Linked DNA regions of Caenorhabditis elegans. The protein of the gene in region 1 interacts with the protein of each later gene in a pairwise test. Each region holds a gene or a part of one and is shown on either strand. Other genes may lie near its edges.

Evidence for each region.
Region 2: the proteins of ntl-4 (region 1) and unc-57 interact in a two-hybrid assay, tested with the Caenorhabditis elegans proteins (one large-scale study listed by BioGRID).
Region 3: the proteins of ntl-4 (region 1) and F56D5.5 interact in a two-hybrid assay, tested with the Caenorhabditis elegans proteins (one large-scale study listed by BioGRID).

What each region holds. Positions count from the first base shown.
Region 1 is NC_003282.8:7,906,805-7,919,099, reverse strand, and holds ntl-4 (CCR4-NOT transcription complex subunit 4), read right to left. Parts: upstream 8,526-12,295; 5' UTR 8,455-8,525; coding exon 8,419-8,454; intron 8,355-8,418; coding exon 8,286-8,354; intron 8,144-8,285; coding exon 8,048-8,143; intron 7,993-8,047; coding exon 7,672-7,992; exon of another isoform or gene 7,569-7,671; coding exon 7,461-7,568; intron 7,411-7,460; coding exon 7,238-7,410; intron 7,193-7,237; coding exon 7,128-7,192; intron 7,077-7,127; coding exon 7,009-7,076; intron 6,959-7,008; coding exon 6,780-6,958; intron 6,726-6,779; coding exon 6,273-6,725; intron 6,232-6,272; coding exon 5,943-6,231; intron 5,373-5,942; coding exon 4,833-5,372; 3' UTR 3,911-4,832; downstream 1-3,910. Other genes in the region: xpo-3 (Exportin-T), read left to right, coding at 1-764, 840-1,288, 1,816-1,860; C49H3.4 (Sm domain-containing protein), read right to left, coding at 2,509-2,692, 2,741-3,016, 3,577-3,788; npp-27 (C3HC-type domain-containing protein), read left to right, coding at 9,650-9,762, 9,810-9,882, 10,140-10,306, 10,398-10,709, 10,786-10,921, 11,379-11,471; cbpl-1 (Cortactin-binding protein-2 N-terminal domain-containing protein), read right to left, coding at 12,223-12,295.
Region 2 is NC_003279.8:4,672,772-4,685,007, forward strand, and holds unc-57 (Endophilin-A homolog), read left to right. Parts: upstream 1-2,363; 5' UTR 2,364-2,367; coding exon 2,368-2,703; intron 2,704-2,976; coding exon 2,977-3,105; intron 3,106-3,153; coding exon 3,154-3,306; intron 3,307-3,687; coding exon 3,688-3,875; intron 3,876-4,898; coding exon 4,899-4,953; intron 4,954-5,796; coding exon 5,797-6,081; 3' UTR 6,082-6,636; downstream 6,637-12,236. Other genes in the region: T04D1.2 (F-box domain-containing protein), read left to right, coding at 6,900-6,992, 7,042-7,121, 7,895-8,164, 8,955-9,264, 9,542-9,810, 9,861-9,984. UniProt on the Caenorhabditis elegans protein: Involved in synaptic vesicle (SV) recycling in neurons probably by regulating clathrin-mediated endocytosis. By controlling SV endocytosis, regulates the rate of excitatory postsynaptic currents (EPSCs) at neuromuscular junctions and thus locomotion.
Region 3 is NC_003282.8:9,403,717-9,412,096, forward strand, and holds F56D5.5 (Coiled-coil domain-containing protein 69), read right to left. Parts: upstream 4,389-8,380; coding exon 3,654-4,388; downstream 1-3,653. Other genes in the region: F56D5.6 (FK506-binding protein 5-like), read left to right, coding at 1,904-1,968, 2,016-2,112, 2,836-2,910, 2,991-3,149, 3,206-3,352, 5,040-5,299, 5,346-5,436, 5,480-5,689.

The DNA.
Region 1 (12,295 bases):
GATTTCATCTGCAAATGTTCGAACAAGAATCGTCTATCTCTTTTGTCGATTTGTGAAATCTCATAAAACAGTTCTTGGACCACTTGTATCAGAAGTTATTACTCGACTTGCCCCTCTCCTCGCAGTTTCTCCACAAGCAGATACAAATCAATTGCTTTCTCCTGAAGATCAAGGATATATTTTTGAAGCAACAGCTACACTTATCGTTTTTGGTGATTTGACATCTGAAATGAAATCTCAATACGTCGGAGAACTTGCATCTACTTTGGCAATGAAGTTTGAAAATGGTCTTGTCGAATTAAATACGGCTAGAGCTAGAAAAGCAGACGAAGAAACAATTCAAGCAATTCTTCAGTTTATGTCGAATATTATTGGATACAGTAGTCGAATGTCAAAAGCTTTTAACAATGCACAATCTATGAAAGCTTGCAACTGTATCGATATCTACTTGAGGTTGATCAAGCTTTATCTTGAAACTCTTTCACCACAAAATGCATTCCTGCTCGAATCGACAAGACAATTTGCTCACAGGCTTGTAGTCTCAATGGAGAACGAGTTGATGCCATATATGAATGGAATATTTGATAAATTGGCGTTAGTTTCTACTGATCTGGATTCAATGCATCATTTGCTCATTTTCTGTCATCAAACTGTTGCAAAGTATAAGAAAGCGATGCTAACAAGTGGAGTTGATTTGGGAAATGTTCTAGCGATTGCTGCGAGAGCATCACTTCAGGAACAAGAAAACAATATTCCAGCTAAAGGTTTGTAAGATAATTAATTACTTTTCAAAAAATAACACATTTTTTCAACTTTTCCATATAACTTTAAATTTTCAGATGATAGTCAACGAGCTCTACTTTATGTCCAACGTGCATTCGTTCAGCTATTATACACTGTCATTGCAAGTGATTGTACTCCTGCTCTAAATACAACACCCGGACTTTTGGATCATGTACTTGAATCAGCTGCTCGTCTAGCTCTGTCATCAGATCAAACTGCTCAAAAGGTCGCTCTATCATGTCTGGCAAAAATCTCTCTGATAACTCCATCATGGTCTGCAAGAACACTTCGTGTAGCACTTGAAATTCCTTCACTTTCCCATATTACCCCATCAGATGCTGGAAGCACATTGGTTGTTCATGAAGTGTGTGCTACATTAACCAGTCTACATCAATCTGATCCGGATGGATTTACACGAGCACTCAGAGAGCTTGTTCCCAATGGATTCTCAGATCAACTACTGTCAGCATTAACCAATTTGAAAGGAAAGAATCTAGATAAACAGGTTAGTTAGTTTACTTTTTTCAACGAAAACGTTATAAAATCAAATTGTGAAGAACTTTCGTTCGATTTCAAAAAGATAATTGATTTTTCCCCAAATGCGTCATCGGAAATTTTTTGGATTAAAAAAAAAGAAAAAACTCGAAATAAAAACGAAAATTTTCGATTCTTTGGAAAATCGAGAAAAAATGTTTATAAAATTAACCATAAAATTTTTTTAAATCAAATTTTGTTTCTGGCCATGACCATGAAACATAATTTTCTTCTAAAAATAAAAAAAACTGACCAAAATTTTAAGCTCTTTTCGAAAAATGGTTTTTTTTTTCGAAATATTGGAAAAACGGAAAACCTAAAACATTTTTTAATTTGATAATTCTGCAAATCGAAAAACGAAAAATTTTCGTGTTTCGATTTTAGTGAAAAATCGACATAGTTAGTAATGACGTGATGCTCAATAAGTTCTTTTAAAATCTTTAAAATTTTCCTAAAAAATTACTTTTTGAATCATAAAAATGGTTAAAATTATTTAAGGTAATGAATCTGTATTCTTCGCTTCGAAATCAAAGTGCTCAATAATTCAATTTCAACCATCTCCCTGGTGCCCTTTTCTCGCCGTCATATTCACCATTTTTCTTTTTTCCTCGTAATTTGTAAATCAATTGTTTTTTTTGTTATTGCGCTCAATGTTTTCATATTTCCAATTTTTCGCTTAAATGTTCTTAGAATTGGATCAAGTTGTTGTTAATCTTATTCCCCTTACCCGTATTCTGATGGTTTTTTGTTTGTTCGCTGTTCAACTTTTTCCTTCACAATTCCTAAGTGCCCTTTTTGAAAATTCTATTGAAATTTGCAGACTTGACGTTATTCGGGTGTTTTTCTCTTTCTATACTCAACAAATTATGTTCCTTCCTTTTAACATCATCATCAACATCATCATCAATGCTCCCAAAAACGTTTAATGTCACCCATTTTATTCACTTCTAGATTCTTTTCCCGTTTTGTCATACACGACAAAATTGGGTTTTCATTTGACTTGCAGTAGCTCTTTCATTTTTTTTTCAATTTGACACTGTTTAATGGTACTGAATGAAAAACTGGTATATAAAAAAGTTTTTATATTTAAAAAATTTCATAAATTTACACAACTTCAGATGATAATAATTTCATTCAGACAAAAACTGTAAAAATTCCAAAATTAACCCGTTTTCTACAATTTCATGATATCTATGGAAGCATTCGTACCAAAACAACGGAATCTCCTTTAATGAAGCATGCTCTCTGGAAACGATGTTCTATAAGACGATTTGTTCCAACTTTCATAGGCCAATTTCCACCTTCTTTCCACCGAAGAAACTCTGGCAGTAGTAGTTGCATTTCTTTCCGATTTGTGAATTCTTTTTGTGCTTTTCTGAATTTATATTAATTTAGTAAACGAAGAAGAAAAAATCATTAAAACCTTCCATGTAGAACAGTTTCCGTAACATCTTTCATCATTAAATTGAAATGTTCATCAAAAGTGGTTGGTATTCCCTCGAAAATCCGATCAATTCGAATTGCCGAACGAACTCTTACTTCAATTCTCTTTTGATTTATAACTGCATTTGCAATCATCGACATTGGTCCTTCAATTGTAATCATTTTATCGTGAAATGTTATTCCTTTTTTTTCAATTACACTTCGTCCATCAGTCATCATTGCTTCCAATCGTATTTGACGATCTCGAGCTTGTTGTCTGAAAAAATATTAAAACTTTAAAATTAATTTTCCAATAGTTCGAATTGTTTGACTGTTTAAATAATCATAGGCTTTTTGTTTTGGAATTTTTGAGTTTTGCTCGCGAAAATTGCTAGCATTCAGAGTATAAATACACACAATACATAGATAGTGCAAAATTAAGAACATTTTTAAAGTACTTTTGGTCGACTTCCAAAATTATGATACTTGAAAATTGAGTAAATAATAGATACTTTTAAAAATGTTAAAGTGTTACTATTACATAGACGTCCAAAATGAGAATTTTCGTCTTATTTTACGCTCACGGGTCTCGCCACGCAGGCATCGAGCTACTGTAACTTCATGTGTTCGTGGTGAGACCATGCGTGTAAGATATGGCGAAAATTCGCATTTGTGGACGTCTATAAAATAGTAAGACTTGAAAAACATTTCAAAATTCAATATTCGGTCATGTTGGACTATTTTAAGCCGGCAACTTCGCGACTACCATAAAATATTTTACATCTAAATTTCAAAATTTCAATTAATTGAAAGTTATATTTTTTAAAAATAACGAACTTTTTACTTATAGTCTTTTCTTTTTCCTCTCTTACAGTTCTTTCATCAAAATCACAAATTTCTTCTGCAAGTTCCGGATGCAAATCCACTAGATTTTTCTCAAATTCATCAGTTTTGAAATCTTCACTATTTCCTTCGACCCCTTCGATAAGTTCTGGATTTTTTTCGGCCACGGTTTTTAAAAACTTCTCAATATCAAAATCCTCTGCCATTTTGATTTTAAAACTACCTTCCTGAAACAATGCCAATAATGTTAAATGATGTATTATTGGTTTGTGTCTTCTTAAAATAAAAATTAGCCTGTCAACTCGTCTCGTTTAATGAAAGTGTATAAAGTTCCACCAAATAATTTCTTTATTCGCCGTACCACTTTCAAAATACAAGCAAATCCAATCGCCTAAAAGAAGAAAAGCAAATTCTACTGAATACGATTAAAAACGCCCGTCATCCTGTTCTCAAACGAGGAGAAGTGAAGATTCTGGGTGATACGTGTATGAAAGAAAATGGTAACGACAAAAACTTGAATAAACTAAACTTTCAAAAGAAAAAGAAATACAGAAACCACGTTGATTCTTAGATTAGTTGAGGGTACAACTTAAATAAAGAAATCACATGAAAACTGCCACAAAAAGAGGGAGAAAGAAAATAAAAATTTGAACGGGACGCAAAGGAGGAAAGGAATGACCAGGACAGCAGAAAAAATAAAAGAAGCTATAAATAGAACCGTCCCGTTTCTAATGTGTGAATCCCAAAAAAAAGGAGAAAAAAGAAAGAGAAGCTTCATCACGATTCAGATGGTCAGCTTTGCAGTCTGTTCACTGCACGACTGTTCGCGAGAGCAACTTTAAGTTCAAGTCCGTTGGTGTTTTAGGGGGGAAAGGAAACGAAATAATCAAAGCATTTTCTATGGGAGAGGAGCAACAAACACGAATAAGAATCTGAATTCGAGGCGGAGGCGACTCCAACAAAATGAGCTAATGATACATGTCGTAAGAGAGGACAAAATGATTAAAGAAGAGAGCCAATAACATATGAAGAATATTATTATGAAGAATAATAGAATGTGTTGGAGTTGATGATATTAAAAAAGAATCATCTACAACAACCGGGAACGGGAATAATGGGGATACACATCAGAAATTTTTCTTTGTCTTTCGAATTCGAAAATGAAGGGAGAAAACGGTAGGAATAGAAGAAGATAACTAGAATGAGGGTGTGTGGGTGCTTTTGTGTGTGTGTGTGCAATTGTGCCAAAATTATCGGTTCATCACAGAAGAAAAACCGGGTGGTGGTGGGACGGCTGATGATCGCAGACTGTTCTCATGCGACCAACGAGACATCGAATTATCATCCATAAACCGAACATTTACATTTGGAAGAAGAGCTTTGAATGCATCTTGTGCAGATTGTGGCTGCTGTGATTGATGATCCTGCATCATACTTTGATGGCCTCCCATTCCGAACAATCCCATACTTGACTGTTGCTGTTGCTGTTGTTGTTGTGATTGTTGTGTCATGTGTGGAGGTGCTTGTTGTGTCGTGGAAGATCTGTTCGTAGATGGACCTCCGAGTCCTGGAGGTGGTGCCATTCCAAATGGTACTCGAGGCATCAACATGTCATTGTACATGTATGAGTTGATTCCAGCATACATCTGCTGTTGTTGATGTTGTTGTGCTTGTTGCTGCGCTTGATGTTGTTGCTGTTGGCGATTGAACAAGTCTTGTAGAAGACTGGACGACTGTGACGACTGAGACTGATGTTGTTGTTGCTGTGAAGACTGTTGTTGCTGCTGCATCTGGAACAATTTTGATCATGGATAAAGTTTACTAACATGGAAATTATTTCAGTTTTAGACTTCCGGATGAAACCTAGTAAATTTTTTAAAAAAGTTATTCAAAGTAGGTTTCTACAAAAAATAAGCAGCAGAAGACCGTGTTGAACTAGGAAAAAGCTGATATGAAATTGTTCAGTGCATTGTTTCACTACTTTAGAGGCCCGTGAAATTGCTCCAAGTCTACATTTTTACAAATTTTGATTATTTCAAAGGCATTCTGGAAATTTTTTTTCAAACCATAGGTACCTTTATCATCGAAAAGCTGCAGAAATACACGTCTGGAGCCATTTCACAGACATCTAAGGTAGTTAAATAATGAACTGAATAATTTCAGATCGACTTTTTTCTAGTTCAAAATAAATACTCTTCTATCCCGAGCTACTTTGATGGTCCGTTTTCAAATTCCGAAGGTTTAAGTAATTTGGAAGTCTAATTATTGACCTCGAATACTTCCTTTCTGGTGCAAATCAATATTTTGTCAAGAAACAAATGAACTCGCGAAAAAAACAATTTTTCTAAATTGAAACTTACACTTCCGAATGGATGTGAAAATCCAGGCGTCGAGTCGAACTGTCTCTGCTGTTGTGATTGCTGTTGTTGCTGTGACATAAGTCTACTATACATATAGTCCTGTTGCCTGTTCATATCTGCTGCAAACTGTTGTTGTTGATGCTGTTGCTGTGCATGTAACTGATGAAGGAACGAATGATGTTGATCTTGATTCTGTTGTAATGGATGCTGTTGATGTGATGATTGAAGATGTTGTGGATGCTGCTGGGTTGACTGTCGCTGCTCGGGTAATTGACCAAACAATCTAGAACTGCGAATGATTAGTGAATATTCTTATCCTATACTACTTACTGTTTTAACACATCTAAAGTATGATTTGATGCTGAATTGTGTGGTGGAATCTGTTCTTGTTCTTCTTGTAACAACGCTGACAATCCCTTTGATGATTCGGTGAACGGATCGAATCCAAGATCATCGTCTGAATTGAACCTAGCGAGACCGGGTGGAGGACTAGCCTCTCTTCTGAACGACGGTGTGCTAGATGTGTGTGTTCCGAATAACGATTGTGAATTGAATCCTGAATCCATTTTGAACGTTGGGAATAGTGACGAAGGTTCGACGATCGTTGATTGTGCAGAAGGTGATGACAATCCGAGCAATGCTTCCCATTGCATAAGAGGAGCTGGTGCTTCTTGATGCTTTGCTGGTGCCGGAATCCCAAGATAATCATTTTCTGAGAATGATGTCCGGGCCAGCCGGTCGTCATTTACATCTAATTTTGACATAAGATCACTAACATCGTTTCTGAAAAGTTCAATTTTTTGTTGATAAATAAATGAAATTTCTGAAAATTGATACCTATGGATGTCCTCTTCAAACTCGTTTTCATTTCCTTCAGGATCTGTAGGAGGTGTATTGCTGGGCGCCACTGAAATTTCGTCGCGTTCTGACCACTGTCGCTCTCTGGCTGTCTGATTACTCCGTCTACTGTTAACTGTCTCATCTGCTGGATTTGAAGGTGCCGGGTCGTCGATAGACTGAAAATAAAAACTTTGAAGCTAAGCTTTAAAAAAAAAAATGCTATTACATTGCTTGTGTTCGTAGAATCTGCATCATCATCATCAGGATCATCCGCACACATGTGTATCGCTGAGCCTGCAGAATATTCAAATTATTTATTTTAAGTTAAAAGATTTTAGACTAAACCTGTTCGCTCAACGTCATCAACTGTGTCAGAATCATCTTCAAGATATCGCCGTGGTGAATTTGACCTGTAAATCGATTTTTTAAAAAATAATTATCAATTTATTGCATACGTTGGCGCCAGTATTTTATCCAATTGTGATGCAAGTGTCGATTGTGGCGGCGGAGGTCGGCTATTCATCGATTCAATTAATCGTTTCTCGTATTCTGTGTGCTTTCCAAGATGCATATCATCTTTTGTGAAACTTATTTCAGCTTCAGCGTTTTCATGCAAATACATACATTCCTGCAACAAGACGGATTATTGATCATGTGGAGGTGGGCGTAGTTACGAACACCGACCGGTTTGAAACACTTCCGACTATTCAAAAATGAAGAACAATACTTGGTTGTTCCAAGTGATGCTTTCACTAACCTACCATCCAACATTGAGTTATGTACGCCCTGAAAATAAAATGTTAACAATGGGAATTCAAGTTTATGCAGAAATTGTGTTTTTATGCAACTCAAAAGGTGGTTTTAATATAATTTTTTAAAAGAAACTCACTTGAATTGCTCTTAGCGCGTCATCAACTCTTTTATACGTTACGTAAGCCGTATGACTAGGTGGAAGATGAGGTGCAGGTAATGACGGTGTCGCACTCGTTACGATCTTCTGAATTTTACCGTACCGACCGAAATACTCATTTTTCTTCAAAATCTCAGGATCTGCTACACGAGGTGATAATCCCACGACGTAGACAAGATTCTTTTGGAGTACACGGTAATTACAAAGATATTGGCGTGCATCCGATAATTTCAGTTTTTCCGCTTGTTTTTTCAATCGTTGTTCGTCCTTGTGTTTTCGCACATCGTCGGTTGTCATTGGCTGAAACATATATATTGTGGAAATCTTGAGAAATAACCTTAAGAATTGAACAAACCTTAAAATTGACAGGGTCTTCAGGATATGGCTGCCGGCAAGCAGGACATAATCCATTTTCATCGGTTCGTATACGATGCCAGCAAAATCGGCAAATCTGAAAAAAGAGTTTCGTTTTAAGTCAGAGAAGAATTTTTTGATGACAATTTATATACGCAAGCAACTCATCTTCCTAACGCGGATATTTCTGATTTTCCTATTTTTAATTTTAGTTGTTAGATTTTCAAACAAAAAATTACCTGGTACTCGCATTTGCATGGATAAAAGTTGATGTCATCCAGTTCAAGGGTCTCCATGCACAAAGGGCACTGAAATTATGAAATTGGATTTTTTCAGAAATATTTCAAAATCTGTTTCCGAAATCAAACTCACTTCCTTATCGCAACTTTCATCGCTGCAGGTAGACATTTTGGCGATAGTCGTGGAAAACAAGTGAGGATTGAGAGTAGGAACACTGAAAAATGAAAAGACTTGAAGGCAGTGAGAAGAGAAAAACGAGAAGTGCAGCATGACCAATTGGTCGATCAATAAATCGAGTGAGAGAACGAGAGAAGACATGCGAAAGGCACGCAGACGGATAGAGTAAAATAAATTGTAAAATGAGAGTATTAACGCGGAAATTGTTAGATGACTACTGAAATACAAAAAGGTTATCTGGAGAGTTCATTTTAGAGAAAGTGCTGCACGAGGAAATTTCTAAATTCGCCGCGGAAACGAGATTTTGCTTCATTAGGCGTACGGGAACCGAACCGCATATCGCGATTTGATTACAACGATAAGATAGTGTTCCTTGAAACAGTTTCGTTGAATCGATTCGTCTTCTGTCACATTTCTTCGCTTTTTATTGAATTGTTTTGGATTCATTCATTTTCTTCGCGCAATACTTCAAAAAAAAACAGTGAGTCAGCAAAATCAATAAATTGCGGTATAACTGGGCGCAGCGTGTTCATCGTGATATTTAGAATACATTCTGCTAGATTGTAAAAAATTGCGCGAGAGAAAAATGTTTATAAACTGAAAAATGGGCATATTTCTCGAACATTCTCTATAAAACAATTGTAATTTTATTGAAACTTGAGAATGAGTATCAGACACTGTCGAAAGATGTTAAAAAACATAAACTAAATTGAAATACGTTTGTCTCGCTTTCAATTACTCGCTGGAAATTGTTAGAGAACAAAATCACGTGACCCGTATTTTCAGACTGTTTTATCTCGACTCTGTCTCACACATTCAACATTATTTTTATATAATAGAAAACTGGACGAGACTGGCTTTCCTTTGACATATCAATTTTCAAGATTTATTGATTTTAGGTTAATGAACGGAGCCTGCAAAGAATTATTGATGGGCTGCGCGATGGCGGAAGAGGAGCGAGAGGGGGGCTGCAGTGAAAGAATTGTGAGAGAGAGAAGGCAGACCGCTGCGAGACCCATTCCCCGTTATAATGCGTGCGTCTTTCGCTCGGCGTTTCTTTGCTACGGTACCACTCAGAACAGTGTTCGTCTGTTTTATCGGAAATTTGTCCTAAATCTCAATTGCATCCATTTTTCCAACATCGTCATATTTTCTTCATTTTTTTCAGGTAAAAAACAAAATAATTATGGAGGTAGATACGGCAAGTAGCCGCCACTCAACTGTGTTAAAGCGAAAAGCGACCGATTCGATCAATGAAATTCTTAATTACGGACAATCGTCGACTAGCCCACAGAAACGGTCAGTGGAAAAACGTCTTCGTATTAATTCGAATTTTATTTTTTCAGATGTAAGAAAGCTGCTTCTCTTCACAAGTACAGAGATATGGAAACATATCACAAAATTATCAAAACGTACAAGGTGGGGTATAATCTTATTCGTATTTTACTCTTCTTTACTTTCGGGTTGAAAATACAATAAGATTTTCAACAATTCTTTATATTCATTCACAAAATGACAATGTCCCAAAATTATCGATTTATTTGTTTCTACCGGCCAGGTTCCGTTCGAAAAATTACTTTGTTTCTCGAAACCAAGCTACTTTATATTAAGTTCTCACAGAATCCTTATCCTCAATAATTCTTTTCGTCTTCTTTTCGTCATATCGATTTTTTCAGGCACCCACGTGGTACGGATGCGCGGTCTCTCCACGTGATCTCGCAGACTATGGATGGGCTTGTGTGAAGAAAGACTGTGTTAAATGCATTGAATGTGAGCAATACCTCAGCACAGTTCTCCCGAATATTTGTAAAGTCTCATTCAACGTCTACAACTCATCTCTTCAGTGAGTTTTTCAAATTTAATTATTAATTCATAGAATAGTTCCTCTTCTGTGAAAGTTAGGATTTCGGGAGAATTAAAATTATTTTTTACAGAGATATTCACGAAAAAATGACGACAGCTCACCGAACAACCTGCAAGCTTCGATGTGGTGCTCCACCATTCCGAATCGTTGAGCCAACAGCCAAAGAAGTAATGGATGGAATTCAACGGAGATTGTCTGATTCTAAAAAAATTATCGATGAAGACTTGAAGGCTGATATCCCATCAGATGTGAATCTTCCGAAAATTGAAGGAGTTCCAGAACAACTTATTTATGTAGCAGCTCTTGGATGGCATGTTTCGATGCCAAAACGAGGATCTCTTCTTTTTGGATGTGACAATTGTGCCAGAGAGTTAGCCATTAGGTTCGTGAGCTAAATTAAAAATTATAATCGATACTCGTTCTAGTTTTTTCCTATTTTTCCAATTTTCCATTTCCAGGTGCGGAAACAAATTTGATCCGATTCACAATCATGAACGTTGGTGTCCTCGGATTGAAATGGATGATCACGGGGAACCAAGTTGGCAATCTGATCTCAACACTGTCCTCAACACAAAAAATCATGTGACTAACCGAGTAAGTGCTCGCTAATATAATTACTTGAAAACTTTCATTTTTGCAATCCAAAAATTAAACAAATCAGCACTATTTGGCTTCTGTAGCGCTATAGCAGACATTATGACTGAGATCGTTCCGAGACCCATTTGAAAAATAGCGTGTATCTTAAAACGACATTCCCAAATATCGCGAAATTACGATATGATAAAAAATTTTTGAAATTGAAAAAAATATAGAAAAAAAAACTTGATTAGTTTGGAAATAAAATTTATTTTTATTGAAAAACTTGAAAACAATATCAAAAACTACTTGAAACATGCCATTTATGAAAGTAATGGTGTATAAATTTTGTCGGCAAATGATTTCTACATTTATTTTAATCTTAAAAAGTTTTGTAAATTGGCCGAGGAGATTCGCCGCCAACACCTATACTAAACTTGAAAAATTAAAAATTTTATTTTTTTCGTAATTTCAGTACACTGGGTCATCGATCTTCAAAGAAGCATACGCGGCTCGACGTCTTCTCGACAGTTCACTTTCTACAATCATCACACCAAATTATATTTGATGCTTTTTTCCAATTTTCTTTCGTGTTTTGTCCCGCGACATCTTCATCCAGTGCCTCTTATGAATCGTCTAGTTCTTTCTTATTTTTTGCCTTATTTTCAGTTGGCTCCAACCCATCCAACCAGTCATCTCACTCTTTTTGCACTTTCCAGGGCCCCAAATCTTTTTCGATCACATTTTTTTCTTTTGCCTCACATTCGGAACACTTTGATTTTAATATAATAGTTTAAAGAATGATATTCTTGACAAATTCGCATCCATCAATATTAGTAGAACATGCTCATCATGAAATACCCCTTTTCCTTATTGGAAAATCGACCATAGACGGGTCCATATCGTCTTTTCATTCTATTTCCCCCTCCTCATTTGTGCCCTACTTGTACTATTCATTCGTGAAAATAGACTTTGTTTTTTTAAAACGAAAATATTACAAGTCCTCGCTCGTTCCTCTACCACTAGGCTTCAATCATTTCACGGATCTTTTCTGACTTTTATAAACTAGATTTCGTCTTTTTTTTAAATGAACAATATATCTCGAATTTAATATTTTCATTATACGTGCAATATTTAATTTGATCTGATTTTACACGAAATGAAAACTATAAACAAACAAGTAAGAAAATGATGAAAAGTGCGATAAAACATTGTAAGAAAATTGAGCAAAAACTGAAAGAATGAGAGAATCGTAATACCCATGAATGTTTGTTAGGTAGAAGTGCAGATAGGTAAGTTAAGATTTTGAATATAAAATATCATTTCGATGATCCAAACGCTTTTGCGAGAATTCCGTTCCGCTTTACAGTTCCAGAAAGTTTTCGTTCACTT
Region 2 (12,236 bases), on another chromosome or scaffold:
GTTCCTCGGCGTCTTTCGCAATGTTCTGAATGTTGTCGATTTCCTCGCGTAACCTCTGCTATCTGTTAACGGGTGTCTTCTTATCAGTTTCACTTTTTCTTATTTTTTTAGTTGTCAATCTCTTGCTAGTAGTTCCCTGATTTTTGAAGAAAAAAGCTCGTCCCAGAAATCTTGCAGAGCTGGAAAATCATTAAAATCCATATTCCTTCTTTGGAAGCGGTCATTTTCAAAACTTGTATATCGATTATATCTTCAAATTTTAATTTTTTAAAATCATTTTACCCAGTTGTAAACAAGTTTTTCATGAACAAATAAAAAACAGCATGAAAAGCATAATCTTGGTAGACATAAGGGTTAGAATTTTGCCTAAAATTATAAAAATGGACCGAATAAATTCAATAATGTAAAAAAAATGAACAAACATTTCTCAAGTTTTCAGTTTTCCATAAAAAATTATAAATTTATGTAAAATTATCGATTTTTAGACCAATTTTGAAGATTTTCTTTCGGGTTATCAAGTTTTCTTTACGAGAAAATGTCATAAATTTTTTTGCAAAATTGAAAAATCATTGGTTTTTTTTCTTGAAATTTAGAATAATTTTATAAATTTTTAAACACTTTTTTAAAATTCGACCATTATGCTCCATTTTCTAGCATTTTAAGCAACCCCGTCTTTAAAAAGCTGCATTTAAATTATATTTAGCTTTAAAACTCTTTTTATGCTAGGAAAGTGAAATTTCGTTAATCATTATCCAACAAATGCTCTCTGTCGGGATAAAATTTAACTTTTCCAATTGTTTTCCAGATTTTTCCAAGTAGCAACCCTTGAGTGTGCCCAATCATTATGCCTATCCACACACACAAACATTAAGTAGTGGGTAGGCTAGAGTCTTTCATGCACAAGCAAATATACACCGATTCGTCTTTTTTCCCTCTATCTGCCACATAGATAAAAGAAAGAATAACCTTCTCCTCCCCCACAACACCACCACCACTAACGGCGTCTTCTTCGTCTCAGTTTTCTTTGCTTTACGTAATCTACGTCTTCTATTTTTTCGGGGTGCTCTCTTCGGTTGGAACTATGTGTGAGAGTAGTGTGTTTCGTGTGTCTGTGTGAGTTTTTCCTCATCTTTCTCTCTCTTTTCGCGCGGAAAGAGGGCGCCCGAGGTCGGAGAAAAAAAATGAAAGGCAGAGAGGATGGAGGACACAGAGGAACGAAACGAAAATAACTGAATCGATACATCTGTGGGGTTGGCGGTGTTGAAGAGAAGAAGACGAAGAAGAAGATGAGGGGGTGGAGCTCTCCGTGCACAACGGCTTCTCCTCCCCCATCTTTCTCTCCCGTGCTTCTCCTTTTACTAGAGTCCGGCGTTGTGTTGTGTGTGTGTGTCCCCGCCTTTTTCCGGAATACGAAAGTAGGTCTAGTTAATGGTTAACTACCTCTCTTGCTCCGAAGCAGGCTTTTTCTTTAATTGCTTCTTGCAACTTTTCTGAAGCTCTACCTTTCTACTGGGAACTTGTTTTCTTTGAAATTTAGAGTTTTTAAAACTTCCTTCAGTTCTCATTCTCATGCTTTATAACCATAAAAGTGTACATCAGAATAAATCCTAGATCATAAGATCATTCACATTAGCATTTCTTTTTGGAATGCTTTTTCCGAGAAAACTGCACTTTTGAGGATTTTATCTTCGAACTGAAAATTCGAGTTGTACTTTTGAAAAAGTTTGTAGCGATCTACCTGATGTCAGTTTTATTTTAGATTTCCTGCACAGTTTCTTTCATGAATTTATAATGTTCAACCTTTAGTTCTCTCAGTTTTAAGGTTTAATGCAAAGTTTTACATACAGCCTGAGGGTCTGTGGATTTTTTTGTTTTAATTGATAGAAAATACCAGATTATACCTATGAAAAATAGTTTTTAAATTTCAAAATTTGATGAAAAATCCGAAAAAAGTGCCAAATTTTGCTTATAATCGAAATTTTTCTAGAAAACCGACCAAAATATACAATAAAGATAAATATTTTGATTAAAAAAAACTGTATTCCAACTGCTGAAACAAGGGTGGAAATTATTTTTACACTTTTTAATTTATTATTACAAAATCATTAGAATTTATAATTTTTCAACAGTTTTATCTGATCTTTAAGTGGTATTTTCTTTCATTTAAAATAAAAAATCCACAGGCGAAACTCCAAGAATTCAAGAAGCTCATTTTATCGAAACTTTCAAATCTTGCTCACCGTGATTCCCAAGTGTTTTAAATCTAAAGGAAAATAAGTCTGGTTTTTGAATATTTATTTTCAGTTGTTTTAATTATCAATTAATTAACATGTTATTCCGAATCTAAAACTCAAAATTTTCAGAAAAATGTCGTTGTCGGGGTTACGTAAGCAATTCAACAAGGCGAATCAATACCTTTCGGAGACGATGGGCGCCGCAGAGCCAACAAAACTTGACGATGTGTTCAATGAAATGGAGAAAAATGTGGATACAACGTATAATTTAATTACGGATCTCGTCGCCGGAACAAATGAATATCTTCAACCAAATCCAGCTACTCGAGCAAAAATGGCCACACAAGTTGCCCTGTCAAAAGTTCGTGGAACTACAAAAACGTCACCGTATCCACAAACAGAAGGAATGTTGGCTGACGTCATGCAGAAATATGGACAACAATTGGGTGATAACAGCGATTTGGGAAAGGTTTGCCATCCCTTTTGGAATTTTAATTTCTGAAAAAAAACCCATTTTTTAGCAACATTTGTCAATATTTGTTCTGTGAGCAATTTCTGAAAATGTGACCAAAATACAGCAAAAATAAAATTACTATTTATTTTGTTTATATTAATAATTTAATTGAAACATTAGGTTGATATTAGAAAACCACTACTTCGGTATTTTTTAGATTAAAATTTTTTGCACGGCTTCAAAATCTTCTTAATCATAATTTTAAATTACAATTTTTTTCAATTCCAGAGCCTAAACGATGCTGCAGAAACGTATCGACAAATGGCTGATATCAAGTATCAAATGGAGGATAATGTTAAACAAAACTTTCTCGATCCATTAACACATTTGCAGAATAATGAGCTGAAAGATGTGAATGTAAGCTTTTTTGCGTAAAAAAGGGTTTATTATTAATTCATTATTCAGCACCACCGCACAAAACTGAAAGGACGTCGACTTGACTACGACTGCAAAAAGCGTCAGCAACGACGTGATGATGAGATGATTCAGGCGGAGGAGAAGCTGGAAGAATCAAAGCGACTCGCTGAAATGTCAATGTTCAATGTGCTTAGTAATGATGTGAGTTTTACGATTTTTTTTTGGAAGTTTTTACTATTTTCCCCTATTAGACTTGCTATTTGACATCGGTTACCCTTAGTTTTATTTTTAAGAAGGATTATTCTCAAACTTACGAATATAACAAAAGAAAAACGGGAAAAATCCGTTAAGATTTCGAATTTTTATGTCAGAAAAATCAACGAAAAACCTTCAAAATTTAACTAGCGAAATCATAGGCCACGAGGATTGTTCGAATTTTGATCCTGTTCTATACTATGTTTTTAATCAGTATTTTATACAATTCCTTTCAATATAAGCTGTCAAAGTTTAATTTTTTTTTAATCTGCTGAAATTTTTTTCCACTTCCCCTTTTAGATATAATCACAAAAAAATTCTTTTCAGGTCGAGCAAATATCTCAACTACGAGCCCTCATTGAAGCCCAACTCGATTTCCACCGACAAACAGCCCAATGTCTCGAAAATCTACAGCAACAACTTGGCCATCGAATCAAAGATGCAGCTGCCAGGCCTCGTGAAGAGCATGTTCCATTATCAGTTCTTGCAAATGAGAGCAGAACTCCAAGATCCAGGTTGGTATAAGCATGAAGAGTGAGAAAATGCATGTTTGTTGTGAGATTTTGAACGCTCAAAAAGACCTAGTTTTTAAAAAACAGCTAATTTCTTGAGATGCACTTTTGAGATTCAGCTGAAATCTCCAATTTCGCCAACATTTTATTGAAATGGAGCTGCCCCAAAAAGCTGAATAAACTACCAAAAAAAATGTTGAATATTGGAGGATTAATTGAAATTTCGGGCCGCTGTGGCACGGAAAAATTGGCAAAATTGAAGTTTTTTAAAGCTAAATTTAGATTTTTGTTTTCTTCTCAAAACTTTGAAACGCCATGAAAATTGTACGAGAAGTTAGAATAGAATTAGTTATTTTTAAGAAATTTTGAATTTTGAGTACAGAGATTATTTCATAAATCTACCTGAAAATTAGTTTTTTCAAAAGATACGAAAAAATATATAAAGCCGGAACTAGGCGTTTTCCATTTTTGTTTTCGATTTAAAAAGGTCCCACGCATCATAAAAAGAGAAAACCCCCTGTGCTCTTAAGAAACGGAAAAAGCACTGAAGCATCATTCACAAGTAATAAAAAGGAGGAAAACATATGAAGCACAGACATAGACATGCAGAGTCTATGATTGATTACATCGCATTATGTCTTTTTACGGCCGGAGGAATACTTTTTTGGAAGGAATATGAATGTAAAAAGATCGTTTAATGACTGATTGACACGAAAATATTGAAAAATTGAAATGTTTTCGGTGTTTTTTAAGCTAGACTAGTTTAAGTTTTTTTGAAAGTTGAGAAATTTCAAAAAAAATTATTAAAAGAAACAACGTAAATTTTGATTTTTGATTATCTTTGAAAAAACCGAAAAATTGAAAATTATTCTACGACACAACCAAAAAAACATTCTAAATTTAATTTTAAAAAAATAAGAATTAAATTTCGTTACAGTACCCCCCGCTACAGTACTCCCTGATTCATATTGTGATTGATTTTTTATTTTTTGCATGCTAAAAGCCTCTTCCAAAACATCTCTTCAGTTTCAGATCGCCTGCTCCATCGGATATGAGTCACAATTCTACGGCAGCCGCAGCCGTACGTTTTTTTGTTTCAGAAAAAATTGAAAAAAGTGCGACTTTTCAACAAAAAAAACACGAATTTTGGAGATTCAGTTTTTCGGATTTCAATTACTGAAATTTTTTGGAAAATGGTATAATTTTAAAAAAACACTTGTAAAAAGACCGGAAAATGTTTAAAAAATGTTTTTGAAACATTTATTGAAAAATCAAACTTTTCAGATATTTTTCGAGACGAGAAAACTGAAAATTCTTGATTTTTCAGAAAGCCGAAATATTGATCAATTTTCTGGATAAAATTAACCAAATATTTCAATTTTTTAGTTTTTTCTCATAAAAAACATATAATTTTTCTTTAAAAAAACAGAAGTGTCTAAACTTTTAAAGAAATTTTTCGCAAAATCAATTTCTATTCGAACCGACAAAACTAAAAATTTAAAAACGAAAATTCCAGATTTTTCGGTTTTCCGGAAATCCTAAAAATCGGAAAAATATTGGGAAAATTGACAAAAAATTTCAAACTTTTAAAAATTTGGTTGATGAAAAAAAAAAGTCAATTTTCTTCTTAAAACGGGTAAATTTTCTCGAAAAAAAACTACAAATTAAAAAAAACCAATTTTCTAAAGTCGAATTTTTTGTTTGTTGAAAATAAGTTACTTTTATAAGAGAATTGTGTATTTTCCCATCAGCATAAAAAATTTGAAGATTGAATTTTTTAAATCAATTTTCTAAATCGAAACTATTCGTTTTTCAATTTTTATTTTAAAAAATCGAAAAAGCGATACCCTTGATTAGAATATTTTGTTTTTGAATAAAAACCTAGTAATTCAATTTTCAATCCAATTTCTAATATTATGTCCAGTTTAAGATGCCACCACAAAATGGAGGAGGAATAACACAAGCACCACCATCATATCAAGGACCTCCACCAGGTGGACTTCCACCTCCACTCTCCCAGCAGCAGAAGCCACAATGCAGAGCTCTATTCGATTTTGATGCTCAAAGTGAAGGAGAACTGGATTTCAAAGAAGGAACACTGATTGAGTTGGTATCACAAATTGATGAGAATTGGTACGAAGGACGTGTGAATGGAAAAACTGGATTATTCCCTGTTACCTATGTACAGGTTCTAGTGCCTCTTAAATAAAAAAAAATGTATTTCTCCCTCCAAAACCCAGTCAATTCTTTCCATTTTTTGCTGTTTTATTGCCAATTTCTCGTTTTCTCCCCAACTCCAAAGCCATGCTCCTCATCTTTGTCTCTTGAATTTTATTTCACAAAAATATTTTATTTCCCTTTCCAAATCTCACTTTTTCTCTAGGAACCCCTGAAAAGTACTCATTTAGAAGAGAATGGGCTATGGTCTCTATGAGGCTAAAATAGTTAATTCTCCTGATCCATTGTGCCGAAATCTTTGTATTTATTAAAACACTACTTGCTTTATATACATCCACTACTTTCCCCCAGTCTGCCACACCCGATGCGTTTTCCAATAGCAATACCCTGACCCACATTACCATGTATTCTATGTACTCTCTACACTACCAAAAATGTGCATTTATCAAATCTCCCTTAAAATAGCAGCATGTTATTAGTTTTTTTAGCTTTATTTAGTAACTTATTTTCAACATCAAAAAATTCATTGCAAAATTACTTATTTTCGTAATTACTTATTTTCGAGTATATGAATTTGATTTTAAACTATTTTTTTTTTGAACTCGGAGATGGAAAAAAGTCAAATTTCTTGTCTTATCAATTTTAAAATTGTTTAAAAAAAGAAGTGGATGAACAAGAAAATCAATAAAAAACTGAAATGAAAACGAAATTTCGAAATATCCGGAATATTATATTGTCCACGAGGAGTACTGTAAACAGACACCCAGTTATGTTATTAGTGACGTCATATACTTGCACCATCTGCTCTCATACCTGTGCACCATATATCTCATCGATTTTTTTTTGAACATGAAACGAATGCAACTATCATTTCGTCCATTTTCTTCACTATGGAATTCAAATCGAATTAAAAAAGGTAGAAGTTGTTCCAATCAGAAGAAGGTAAATTAAATTAATTTTTATTTGTTAGATCAAAAACTATAAGTTTCAGAAATGTAACTCTTTCAATCTACTCCAACTACCATACCTAGCATTTCGAATTGTTATTCATCAATTAAGTATTTTTTCAGTGTAAGTTATCCCGTGGTGTCAGACTGTCCCATTATGGTTTGATCTACAAAAAAGGCGGGATTTTTTTGCCCAAAAAATGTGACGTCAGCATTTTTTTAACCATGCGAACCAGCATGGGACAGCCTGACACCACGTGAGTTATTCCAACATTACATATCGTACACCCTTCAATGTTAGTTATAACATAAAATCACATAAAAATTACGGACAAATCGAGCGAGAGTGAGATCAACTACATTAAAAACGTTTTAATTTTAATTTTGGCTGAATTTTTTTTTAGAAAATCGCAGTTTTAATAGTTGTATTTTCAATTCTTTCTCGACGCTCTAGAGTATTTGAACAAAATCCCAATCTACAGTGTTACAAAAGCCAGTCTGAGACAAATACTGCCCAGTTACGGAAATTCGTGATTCTTGACCGGTCTCGGCACGAACGAAATTTGTAGCCACTGTACCCAACAAGAGTTTCGCAATTTGCTTCGCTCTTTTTCTTAAAGGTTTGCCCAAACAATATGGTTGAGCCCCCGTAAAATGCCACGCGATACTGGTAAAATCTCCAAATTATTGCTGGTACGGTAGCTGCTAATTTTTGGTCGTTTCGAGACGCGGTGACGTAGCGCAACTGGATAATAGAGCAAAAAGCAATATTTTTCACAATTAATTAAACAATTAAGAATACGATCAGTTCGATCAGTTCAGTTCTTTTAATTCCTAGTTAACCTTTTTTCTCAAGTTTTTACTTTGGAAATACATTTATATTTGTTGATGTTTCAGATTACAATTATCTCAAATTTCAAGAAGAACTTTGAAGAAAATACAACAAGTGAATCGGAAAGTTTATAAATTATTGGTCTACAACCATGAATTCACGCCTTATGGTGGCCAAGAACATCTTAAGACTTATTCAGTTCGGCAACTCGTTGTTATCGAGAACATAAGTGATTATCAAGAATTTTATGATATGATGTGGTCACAAACTACTGTATCCTATAGATTCTTGACAACTCCTCCGGTGACATATTGGATCCGAAGCGTAATAAAAGAGTACGTTTCATCTTGAATTATGTCTGAAACTGATTCAGTTTCAAGTTGTTGAACCTCGTTTCCACCGGGAACGGAGGACTCAAAGATGGTTCCCAAAGACTTAACACTTCTCCAAATATGGAATTTACTCTTGAGAATACATTACATACCGTATATCCTCTATTAGTATGGCGCCTCTATTAGTTTTGCACCCCTTCATTTGTTCCCTATTTTTAGGTATTCAAAATTTGAATTATAAACTCGTTCTACAAATCAGGAAAATTCTTACAGACTATGGTTTAACAAGTAAAAATTGGCAAAATATGAGTAGAACTCGGACAATTTTTGCGTATTAGTCGTAAAATTCGCCCACTTTGGTTTATAAGTTATTGAAATTGATGATATTATGCTATAACTTGATGGAAAACATGAGAAAAAACCTGTTCGAAAATTAGTTTTGCACCCTCCATTAGTTTTGCATCAAATTAGGTGTCAGAAAGTTAGTTTTGCATGCCTTACTAATAGAGAAAATACGGTATATGTTATAACCAGGGCTTCCATGTAGGCGTCAAAACGCGTGCCTGCCTGATCTTATTGTTAAGGCGATCTTCGCCTGCCTCTCCCGTCAGTCGCGCCTTATGCTAAAACATCAAAATAATATAAATGATAAACTTAGAAGTTTGTAAATTCATGTTAAAATTCAGATAAGAGACGGATGGCCCGTGTGGGGCGAGCATGCCTCAGGCAGGCGTTGGGCCTGAAACCAAGTTTGCATACCATGGAAGCCCTGGATATAACAAACCCATTTCAGTTATCCCAACATGAAGCTTAACGGAATATCATATATGTCGTATGAAAACAAAAAGGAGCTCGAACACTATTTGAATGTATTATATAACACATTTTCGATTGATCATCTCGACCTTATGACGGATCGCGAGAAGATTTTTGGAGATTACAGAAAAGTTTTTAAACATCCATTGTTTCGTAAATGTCATTATGTAGAGTTTCACGAGCCTTCCAAGTTTTCAACAAAAGATTTGGAAAATCTGCAGAAAATGTTTGATTTGCATAAATTTTATGCGCGATGTGATCAGAAGAAACATTTCAATTTTCAAAAGGTAACAGTTCTATCCTATGTCATTTGGAAACTTCTGTTTAAACTAGAATTGTTATGTTTAAACTAGAACAAAAGTGGATTTTTTTAAAAATGTTTGAAAATTTTTTTGTGACGAGCTAGTCAAAACATAAGCTTTTGAATTTTATGCTTTTTTTTTTGAAGTCTAAAACTTCTTTTTCGTGTAGAAATCTTCGATCGCGTTGACCCTGGTGTTTTATACTTGCGTCATAATTCGCGATATTTTTTATTTGGGTAATATCATGTCTAACAAAGTTCAGATGCTGAAGATTCCGCGGATTAGTGTCCACGAAGCTTACAATATCAAAATAGAGGACTTAATGAACAACAACTGCAAAGAAATAATATTATGGAATAACGATTTACAAATATTTGAAATAACAAAATTCATTTGTCATTGGTTATCTGGAAAATTGCCAAGCCTTGAAAGACTTCGACTACATATGTTTCACGATTGGGAAATTTTTGAGGATATCCTGATTGGCATTGATAACAAAAAGAGAGATGAAAATCAACCGAAAACATTAAAGTAAACATTAAAAGTTTTCAACTTTCAGACTATTTTAAATATTATTTCAGATACGGAGTTTATTCCCTGGATTGTTCAAATGGACGAGATATTATTCGGAAAGATGGGCAAATTGCTACTCTTTTTACAATTGGATATGCTCTCGAATTTGTTGTAAGGGATTTAACATTATAATATGCGTTTATGATATCCTCTAGTCTGTACATTCTGAAAAAAGACCTGAATGCATGTAATATGTATCCTATTAAAGTTTTGATTAAAGATTTAAAACTGATTTTTTTTATTTTTAAATTTTCACAAAATCATTACTAAATGCGTTTTTCGTTTTTCAGTGATTTTTCAAACATTTCAAATGAGTAGAACTCTGAAACCGAAAATTTCGGCAAGAACAGTTCAACTAACAAACTGCTGCTCTCACTTTTTTCTGCACGAGAAAATATTTTTCGAAGTTTCCCAACAAACCTGCCAAGCCTGCTGCGCTGCTGCTGGGAGCCTGCCAATGCGCCCGACATCTAGCGAGCCCAATTTCGACAGTTTTCCTTTAAACACTTATAATTCAAGTACCTACGTTTTCATGCACCGATGTTCTAAAAGTGTAATACCCTTTTCAAAACTTTTTTTAAAAGTGATGTATCCTTAAAAACAAATGTAGCAGTTACATTCAACTGAAAATCAAGATCAGAAAAAAAATGTTCCGTCATTTTTATGAAATACGTTCAATCTTGGCCAGTACAACGCCAGTTTGAACGTTATTTCTGAGTCGTTGGTCACATGAAGACGAAGTGATTATATGCATACAATGAGCGACAATTGCCGTTCGGCAATCGAATTCTCGGCAATTGGCGATATTCGGCAATTCCGGCAACCTCTCTTCTGCTAAACAGTGAAAAATGAATACAAAATGAGTAAAATGAACTATATTTTGTTCACTTGTTAAGAAAAAGTGTTAAGAAAAGTGACAGACATCCGGGACCCAAAGGGTGCGGGGCGCGGGAAGAGACGATTTACGAAATGCTGACAACAAGAAAAACTCTGTAAATCGACACAAATAGTCTCTTCCCGCGCCCCGCCCCTTTGGTTCCTAGATGTCTGTCACCCTCTAACTATCTACACTCTCTGTACCGGTAATAAACCTCAGTGAAAGAAAAATTTCGCCTTTGATAATTATATACTACGCTTTTTTTCGCCACTATATTTACCTCGCAGCCGGCGGGACATCTCGCCACGCTCACAGCGAGTTAAACACATCGGAACTCGTGAGATGTCGGCGGCTGATATTGGTTGGTGTCCCGATTTCTGCCAAGTCCCCATGAATTTCCTAAAAAAGCGGTGCCTAGATTTTGGAATTTCTGTGTACACAAGGTTTACACGAGGCCACGATGTTTATTTATTTTGAGTGTGTAATTATTAAAATGATAATTAGGTACTTGGGTATTTCATGCCCTCATTCCAAAAGTTTTTTTTTAAGTTAAATAAAGTGTATTCTATTTTTGCGTTTTTAGGCTTAGGCAATAACATTTTCTGAGTCTAAAGAGGGAAAATGGACATCACGTTTAATTTAAATGAATAAATGAATGAACATTAATTTAATTTAATTTAAAAATGAGGGCATATAATACACAAGTACCGATAATAATTATTAATTGTTCTTCGTTTTGCTGTTTATTTCCATGTCATTTTTAAACTTTTACAAAATAAATTGTCAACTTAACATTAACATGGATGTAAAAATGAAAAAGCCTACAAAATCTCAATTCCTTTAGCTGAAAAGCAGTATGTGCTTATTCGATGAGCCATACCACTTTGTACAACCAAAGAGATTGAGATATGGAGGGAAAAAATTAAAATTAAAAGTGAGAAAATAATGGAATATTTAGAAATAAATGAAAACGATGAAGAATAGTGTAATTGATGCCTTCTACTTCATCTCATCACCCATTTTATACCGCACAGGAGGAGATCAAAATCAGGCGAGCGGGGAAAGTGGGCGTGTCTCTCGAGACACTGTAAGATGGACAATGGGCACCCCGCTGAGGAAAGAAGGGGCGCACACACATCGAAAAGAGATCCGTTTGAGATAGAAGGTTTTGAGGCAAAATGGAAACACAAGGAAAATGAGTGAAAACGAGAAGAAGAAGAAGGAGATCCGGTTAATTTCGATGGAATATGTCCGGATTTTTGGCGGGGAGGAAAAAGATTTTAAGATTAGAATCCCGAATTTCGAGATTTCCACGGATATCATGCAAAATTTATAAACTTTTCCTTTTTAATTAGGTCGCACTTTTCGGAACCAGTTTTCACCCGGTTTAAGCATAGCTTAAGAGTTCTGAAAAATGTTAACGCCAACCTGGAACTGGAAATGTTTGAAAATTGATAAATCAGATATGTTTTTAAGAAAAAGTCAGTTTCTCTTAAAGTTACTCGAC
Region 3 (8,380 bases), 1.5 Mb from region 1:
CTCGTTGCGGGTCGCCACGTCATGTGTGGACCTGAAAATATTGATTTTTTGCAAAGACCCAGGATTCGGGGGGAAACTGACGTGCAGGCGTTGCCTTTCGAGCAATATCCGTTTGCAAAGTATCGACAATCTGTTTCATGACGTGGCATTTGCTGAAAAATGTGGAAAATTTGAGGAAAAACGGGCGAAAATGAGCAAAAATTAACGGAAATGCGACGAAAATGAAAATAAAAAAGAAAGTGCGGTGGAGCGCGTTTGCACCGGAGAAAAGCGGAGGGAAGTTTAAATTTAGTTTTTTCGTGGAATTTTCAGTTTTCGCCATTTTCGAACTTAATTTTCGACGGAAACTTGAAATAACGCCAAAAAAATTGGCTGTAATTCGATTTTGCTTTGCAAAAATAAATAATTTTCGGTAAAAGTGGGGAAAAATCGATTATTTTTCACAAAAATGGTGATTATTTTGTGGAAAATTTGATAATTTTCCCGAAAAATCAATAATTTTCCCGAAAAGTCAATAATTTTGTGGAGAAATCGATAATTTTGTTGAAAATAAATCGATAAACGGATTGTCGTTCGTGTTGCGCGTACGGGGCGCGGAAGGGGTTCGGCAGGAGTGCGGACGGGGCGCGGACGGGACGCGCACAGAACTCGGAAGGAAGAACTCGGACGCACAGAACTCGGACTTCGCGAACTTATTACTTTCAGACAGTCTCGCTGTCAAAACAGGTTGATATATCTTCACTTATATCTTATATATGTATGATGCAAGCATATGACATATAATAATTGCCAATCTAGTCTCTTTCAGCTTTCAGTAATATGGTTCCATGGCATGCCACAATACTAAACGTATAAAATATGACAACGAGACATGTGATCCAGAAAATTATTTTGAAGATGTTTACGCAAACTATACATATCTTTTATATCTTTCTATCGGAACGTATTCTTGGCATTTTAAGGCAACTTTCTGGCAAAAACCTGCCAACTCATTGAAAACACTTTAAAAGCGGAGTATAAGCCAGTCGGAATTTTGTCTAACTGTAAATACACTTATAATAACCCTAAACGGCAGAACATCATAATAAAACATTCTAAAATTTTTTAGATTTTTCAAATTTCCGGTCAAAGTTTTGGCAAATTGCCAAACTTTTGAAAAATATAAGCTTTTGAGGAAATCCAAAGGAATTTTGCATGTTCTGACCACTACAATGCTACAATAAAAATAATTAAAGCAAAATTAAAGTGCAAAAATGTAGGAAACACATTATTTTTGTCGACTTCCAAAGTTATGAGTGCAAAAACTGAGTAATTTCCACTTTTTTCACAGTAAATAAAACATTTTCAAAAATAATTGGAGTTTTGTGTTATGATATTCGGACATTTTGGCACCATTGGAGTATTTTTTAACACTTTCCTCACTGTCGTTACTCCACCCTTAACAAAGTTGGCAACAACCTACCAACAAAAGTATTTTACATCGTAACATCATGAGATCATCAGTACGATGTTTTTGATAGATTTTAATACAATTTCGTTGTAAAATCAAGACTACTGTTTTCTTCCGATCTCATATCAGAATTTCAATTGAAATTTTGGTTTTTCTGTAACTAGCATGGCTGCAAAACTTTTACAATTAACGTATAGAACGAATACAATCCACTTTTGTTCGAAAATATGTCTTAAAGCAACTTTATGTTTGCAAGAAATGGATTAATAAATCTTATGTAGACACTTTGGCAGTTTCAAAGTGTTCTTTTCACAATCCCAGCTCGCCTCTTCCGCGCTCCAGTCACGCCCTATCCTCGCGCCAGGCGCATTTCACCTCTTTCCGCGCGCCAGTCGCACCCAAGTCGCGCCCCAGGAGGAGCCAACTACCGAGCAGAGAAGACAAGGCTTGCAGATGGAACACCATTTGAAAGATACACTGAAAAAGGAAAAGTTATTCCAGCACTTCCGACCGATGAGGTAGATATAAGTATATTTCGAAAATTGAGAAATTTCATAATTTGCAGGAAGAAGTTGAAGACTTAAATGATCCGAGAATTGGGCATCTTGATAAAGATGGAGGACTTTCAGTTCCCGTCGATGAAAATGGACGTGTTTTAAAAGGTACCGTATATTCTCTATTAGTGCTGCATGCAGCACTAATTTCCAGGCACTCTTTTAATGCAGCACTATTAGAGACTGCAGTACTACTGGAGACTGCAGCATTAATTTTCGAACGGCTATTTTCAATTATAGATCACTAGTTTTTAGTCACAAAAGCTCATTTTTTAAGCAGAAATTCATAAAAATTGCGAACTTTTGTAACAAAAAGACCCAATAATTCAATTACTTTTGTAAATTATCAAAAAATCATCAAAAATATACAAAAAAAATACCCAAAAATATCGAAACTGTCAAGTGACTCTTCCAATAGAAAATGGGGTGCAGCACTAATAGAGACTGCAGCACTATTTTTTGGACATTTTTTGAATGCAGCACTATTAGAGACTGCAGTACTACTGGATATGCAGCACTAATAGAGAATATACGGTATGTTTTGTAAACGGAAACAAAGATAAATGAAAGAATTCCATGCTAGGCAGAAACGTAATACATGTATTCCTTCTAGCTTTTGTGTGTTTGTTGTCTGAAATTTTACGCATATTTTTTTTTTGAGTTATTGAAAGTTCACCTGACACGAGTATAGGAGCAAGGCGTAGACGTAGGTCGCCTTTAAAGTAGGCAGGGCATTTCTGAGCCTCCGAGGATGAATAGGCGATCTTGCCAAATTTTGCGTAGAATTTTCAGGTACCTCTGTTAATTTACTTTTAATTTTAATATTCACAGAATTCGAATATCTCATGCAACCTATCACAATTGAAATCGATATTGATGAAAAAGAATCAAAGAAAACACCAGAAGGTATAGCTTACAGAAGACATTGAGTTTTAAATCATTAACTTAAAACATCATAGGTTCAGAAAATTGTAATAAAATTCCAGATGATACTTACAACATTCCGAATGCACCACAAAATGGAGAGCAACAAGATTACAAGCCTTACCCAAATAATCAAGATTTATCACCAAAAGCTGAGTTTTTACCAGAAGGACAAGAAACTGCCGGGGAAGAATATGATGACGTTGAAAAGGAACCAAATGGTAATTTCTATAAAATATAACCTCTGAAGTATGTACGATACTGAAATATTTTTTAGAATCAGTTCCCGATGTTCCTGGATTGCCAAAACTTGATTATACGGATTCTGGTGAGTCTGATGAAGACTTGAAGACTGATGATGCAGTGGATGATGGAGAAACAAATGTCGATGGAGGCGATGAAGAGCTCAAGAGAACAGATATTGGTGAGTTAGTTAGAACTTTTAAAGTTTGTTTGCAAATAATTTAGAAAGTGATCCCTGACTTCGGAAATAGTTCAACTGTTATATTTAGTTTGATAACTTAGCTCATATCCGTCTTAACTGTTTTGCAACAGTATTTCTTGTATATTAGAGTTTATAGAAGTTTATTATTAATCGTAGACAAAGAAAATCATCAGAGAAGTGTAAGTCAAAACATTTTAAAAGTCGTACATTGAATAGATATTGCAAATTGTTCTTACGGTTTCTTAATACTCCAAGAGGGTTTCTAATGGATTGTATTCTTTTATTGAATATTGTCCAAGTGTCGCTCCAAAATTCTATTTCTTCGCTGCAGCTCCAAAATTTGAATTTTGTAATCTTTTTGCATCTCTGTATGAGTTTCCGATGCATCTCTCAGATATCCGAGCAACTCATTTTCTTTGGCAGTCATGTTCTTCTGAAGAGATTTCATTTCATTGCGAAGAATCTGAGCTTCTCTTTTTGCATCGTTCATTTCTTCTTCCATACGGCCTTTTTCAGTTAGATTCTGAAAAGTTTTTCCTTCCATGTCCACCAATAGTCTTTTCACTTCTTCTTCTTTCTCTTTTAAAGCTTCCTTGACACTTCTCGTCTCTGTTTGAAGAAAATCGACAAATTGATCCTCTGCTGGTAATTGTGGTTGGTGACCATTTTGATAGAACGTCAGTAATTCCGAAAGAAACATCGAATTTCTCTTTTCTGCTTCCAGATCCTTTTTCAACTGCTCGTGAACTGTATTTGCGATTGTCAGTTTCTTTCCCTCCCGTCCAAGTTCTTCTTTTAAAAATGCGATTTCTGTTTTCAATTTCTTGGTTTCAAGGTTTGAAATTTCAACAGAAAGATTACGTCGAACTGGTAAATTGTTCAGAGCATTGACTTCAAGCTTCACTTTGAACATTTTCAGCAGGTCATCTCTGAACTCATTCTGCTCGCGGAGCATTTGAACTTCGGCTTGTGAAGATTTCAATAACACTCGGATGTATTCGACGTTTTCAGTCATAGTTTTTGTCGGGGGGTCTGGAATGAAATACTTTTATAGTTCAGTATAATGCTATTGAAAAAATAGTGCAAGAGGGTACAGTAAGAGAATAGAAAACACTGTTTAAAAAAAACAATCGTGGAAATATTGGAACAGCAAAAACAAAGATATGTAGGCTGAAAAATGCAAAACTATAAAGAAAATTAGTCAAATCGAGAAACTGGTAATTCTCTAAAAGACGATTGATATACAAATGAGCATGTTCTTCCAAGAATACATTTGGGTGTATTTAAGGGTGGTAAATGGGCGAAGAATGCTCTATTGAGCGTCCAAGGGAGACGATGTGCTGGCCTGAAATGGGAAAATAGAAGGCCGTCTGGAGATAATAAATACCAACTTGGTACATAAAAGAGTGTCATGTTAATGATTTATGACATATATTGATCAGTCGGGAAAACAGAATTTAAACATTGAATATGTTATATCGGCTGCTTTAGGCGATCAAAAACAATTTGGATTTTAAAAATGTTGATACCAATAATCAAGATTTGATAAATTTTATTTGTAACACCAAAAAAAAGAGATATAAACTGGTAAAGTAGATATACAAGAAATTAGACTTCTAAAAAATATCGTAGTTGTAAAACTCATTAAAAAAAATTTTTATTTAAGAGGTCATTATACCAAGTAGCAAGATAGAATTGGCAATTTCAAGAGACGAAGTTGATGAAAGCAATAAATCAGCAGATGAAGTTGAAAAAGAAGTTCAAACTGGAAATCAAGATGATGGGAATAGTGAACAATCTTCTGATTTACCAAAGAATCGAGATCGTATCGATACTGATTCGGCTGTGGAAGAAGTTGGTGAGCCAGAGAAGAATAATGACAATGTGGAAGAAGTGAACGAAAGTGGGAACGTAATTTTAGATGAGGTTAGTTGTTTACAACTGTCCAATAGGTTCCATAACTTTTTTGCAGGATGAAAACATCGAAGACAACGTCGAGTTAGCAAGAGATTTTGGAAAAGCAATTTATGAGAATGTTATGATAAAGGCTAAGGAGATTGATGGTAAGATCTAGTTTCTCTGTACTCCAAAAAATTTTTATTCCAGAAATTGAAACAGAATCCGAAGTTCAAGATTCCGACGTAGGAGATGTAGATCCAAATGCCATCAATGTCGAATCAGAAATTGCTGATTCTCCAGAAGAGAGTGTAGTTGACGCAGACAATTTGGACGGTGTTGTTCTTCCTGATCAGACCCTTACTGATGAGGAGATAGCAAAGATCGCTGATGAGAGTTTGAAGCCAATTCAACCAGCAGGTAACCAGAAAAAATTAAGCAAAAGAATGAGAAGTGTAAAATAAATAAGAAAATTATTGTAAACCAGCCGATGACCGCGCCTCCGGCGCGGCCAACGACTGGCGGAGTTTAAAATGTATAACAAATAGCTGTCCTTTTAATCATTCAAAAATGTCTCATTAAAAAAAGTTGAAACTTCATCGATTAAATCGCATTTTCTCCTTCCATGGTATACGATTCAGAAAATTCAAAGAGACAGTTAGAATGTTCTGATTTTTCTACTAACACATTATCATTATCAGGCTTTCGAAAAAATTCCACAGAGTTACAGTTTTTTTAATAAGTTAATAACTTTCCTTAACTGGAGAAGTCTGAATAATTAACTACTAAGTTCTTTGAATATAGATGTAACGAAACAAATAAAAACTCCTACAGTTATAGGAGGTTGTAGAGCATTTCAGAACTTTTTTGAATTTTCCAGATGATTCTAGAACAGTCTAGAATTTTCTTGAAACTTCCAGAAGGTGCTGAAACAAAAAAATTGATTCCAGAACAAAAATTTGGATTTCCCGCCAAGCATTTTCCTCAGAAAATTTGAATTTCCCTCCAAAATCTTTTTTCTCAGAAAATCTGAGTTTCCCGCAAAATTTTTTTTCCCAGCAAATTTGAATTCCCGCCAAAATTGTTCTCAGAAAATTTGAATTCCCGCCAAAATTTCTTTTCTCATAAATTTTAAAGTTCCCGCCCATATTTTTAAGGGTCTCTCCACGATGGGTCTCGCCAGTTCCAGGTGGTACTTAAGCTAACAAAAAGTTTCTCAGAAAATTTGAATTTCCCGCCAAAAATTTTTTCTCAGAAAATTTGAATTTCCCGCCAAAAATTTTTCACTGAAAATTTGAATTTCCCGCTAAAATTTTTTCACTGAAAATTTGAATTTCCCGCTTAAATTTTTTCACTGAAAATTTGAATTTCCCGCCAAAAATTTTTTTCACTGAAAATTTGAATTTCCCGCCAAAATTTTTTCACTGAAAATTTGAATTTCCCGCCAAAATTTTTCTCACAGAAAATTTGAATTTCCCGCCAAAAATTTTTCACTGAAAATTTGAATTTCCCGCCAAAATTTTTTCACTGAAAATTTGAATTTCCCGCCAAAATTTTTTCACTGAAAATTTGAATTTCCCGCCAAAAATTTTTTCACTGAAAATTTAAATTTCCCTCCAAAATATTTTTCTCAGAAAATTTAAATTTCCCGCCAAAATATTTTTCACAGAAAATTTAAATTTCCCGCCAAAATATTTTTCTCAGAAAGTTTAAATTTCCCGCCAAAATTTTGGGTCTTACCATGGTGGGTCTCACCACGACGGGTCTCACCACGATGGGTCTCACCACGATGGGTCTCACCACGATGGGTCTCACCACGATGGGTCTCACCACGATGGGTCTCGCCACGATGGGTCTCGCCACGATGGGTCTCGCTACGATGGGTCTCACCACGATGGGTCTTTCCACGATGGGTCTCACCACGGTGGGTCTCGGCACGATGGGTCTCACCACGATGGGTCTCACCACGATGGGTCTTTCCACGATGGGTCTCACCACGGTGGGTCTCGCCACGATGGGTCTCGCCACGATGGGTCTCACCACGATGGGTCTCACCACGATGGGTCTCACCACGATGGGTCTCACCACGATGGGTCTCACCACGATGGGTCTCACCACGATGGGTCTCACCACGATGGGTCTCACCACGATGGGTCTCACCACGATGGGTCTCACCACGATGGGTCTCACCACGATGGGTCTCACCACGATGGGTCTCGCCACGATGGGTCTCGCCAAGATGGGTCTCACCACGATGGGTCTCGCCACGATGGGTCTCACCACGATGGGTCTTTCCACGATGGGTCTCACCACGGTGGGTCTCACCACGACGGGTCTCACCACGATGGGTCTCACCACGATGGGTCTCACCACGATGGGTCTCACCACGATGGGTCTTTCCACGATGGGTCTCACCACGGTGGGTCTCGCCACGATGGGTCTCGCCACGATGGCTCTCGCCACGAAGATCTCGCAGCAACATTTTTTTAATTTTCCAGAAGGTTCTAGAACAATCCAGAATTTTTTCGAATTTTCCAGAAGGTTCTGGAACATTCCAGAATTTTCTAGAATTTTCCAGAAGGTTCTAAAGCTTTTCAGAATTTTCCAGAAGGTTCTGGAACATTCTAGAATTTTCCAGAAATTCCCAGAAGGTTCTGGAACATTTCAGAATTTTCCCGAAGTTTCCAATTTCCCTTCCAAAGACGGAAAGTCAATTTTTCATAAACTACCGTAATCCTACCGTACTCCTACCGTACTCCTACAGTACTCCTACAGTACTATTACAGTACCCCGACCATATTCCACTACTAACCGCAAACCTATATCTCTTCAAAAGACAAAAACACAATTTTTCATAAACTACAGTAATCCTACCGTACTCCTACAGTACTCCTACAGTACTCCTACAGTACTACTACAGTACCCCGACCATATCCCACTACTAACCTCAAACCTATATCTCTTCAAAAGACAAAAACACAATTTTTCCCAAACTACAGTAATCCTACCGTACTCCTACAGTACTCCTACAGTACTACTACAGTACCCCGCCCATATCCCCCTACTAACCCCAAACTAATATCCCTCCAACAGCCGAAAACACCTTGCCTT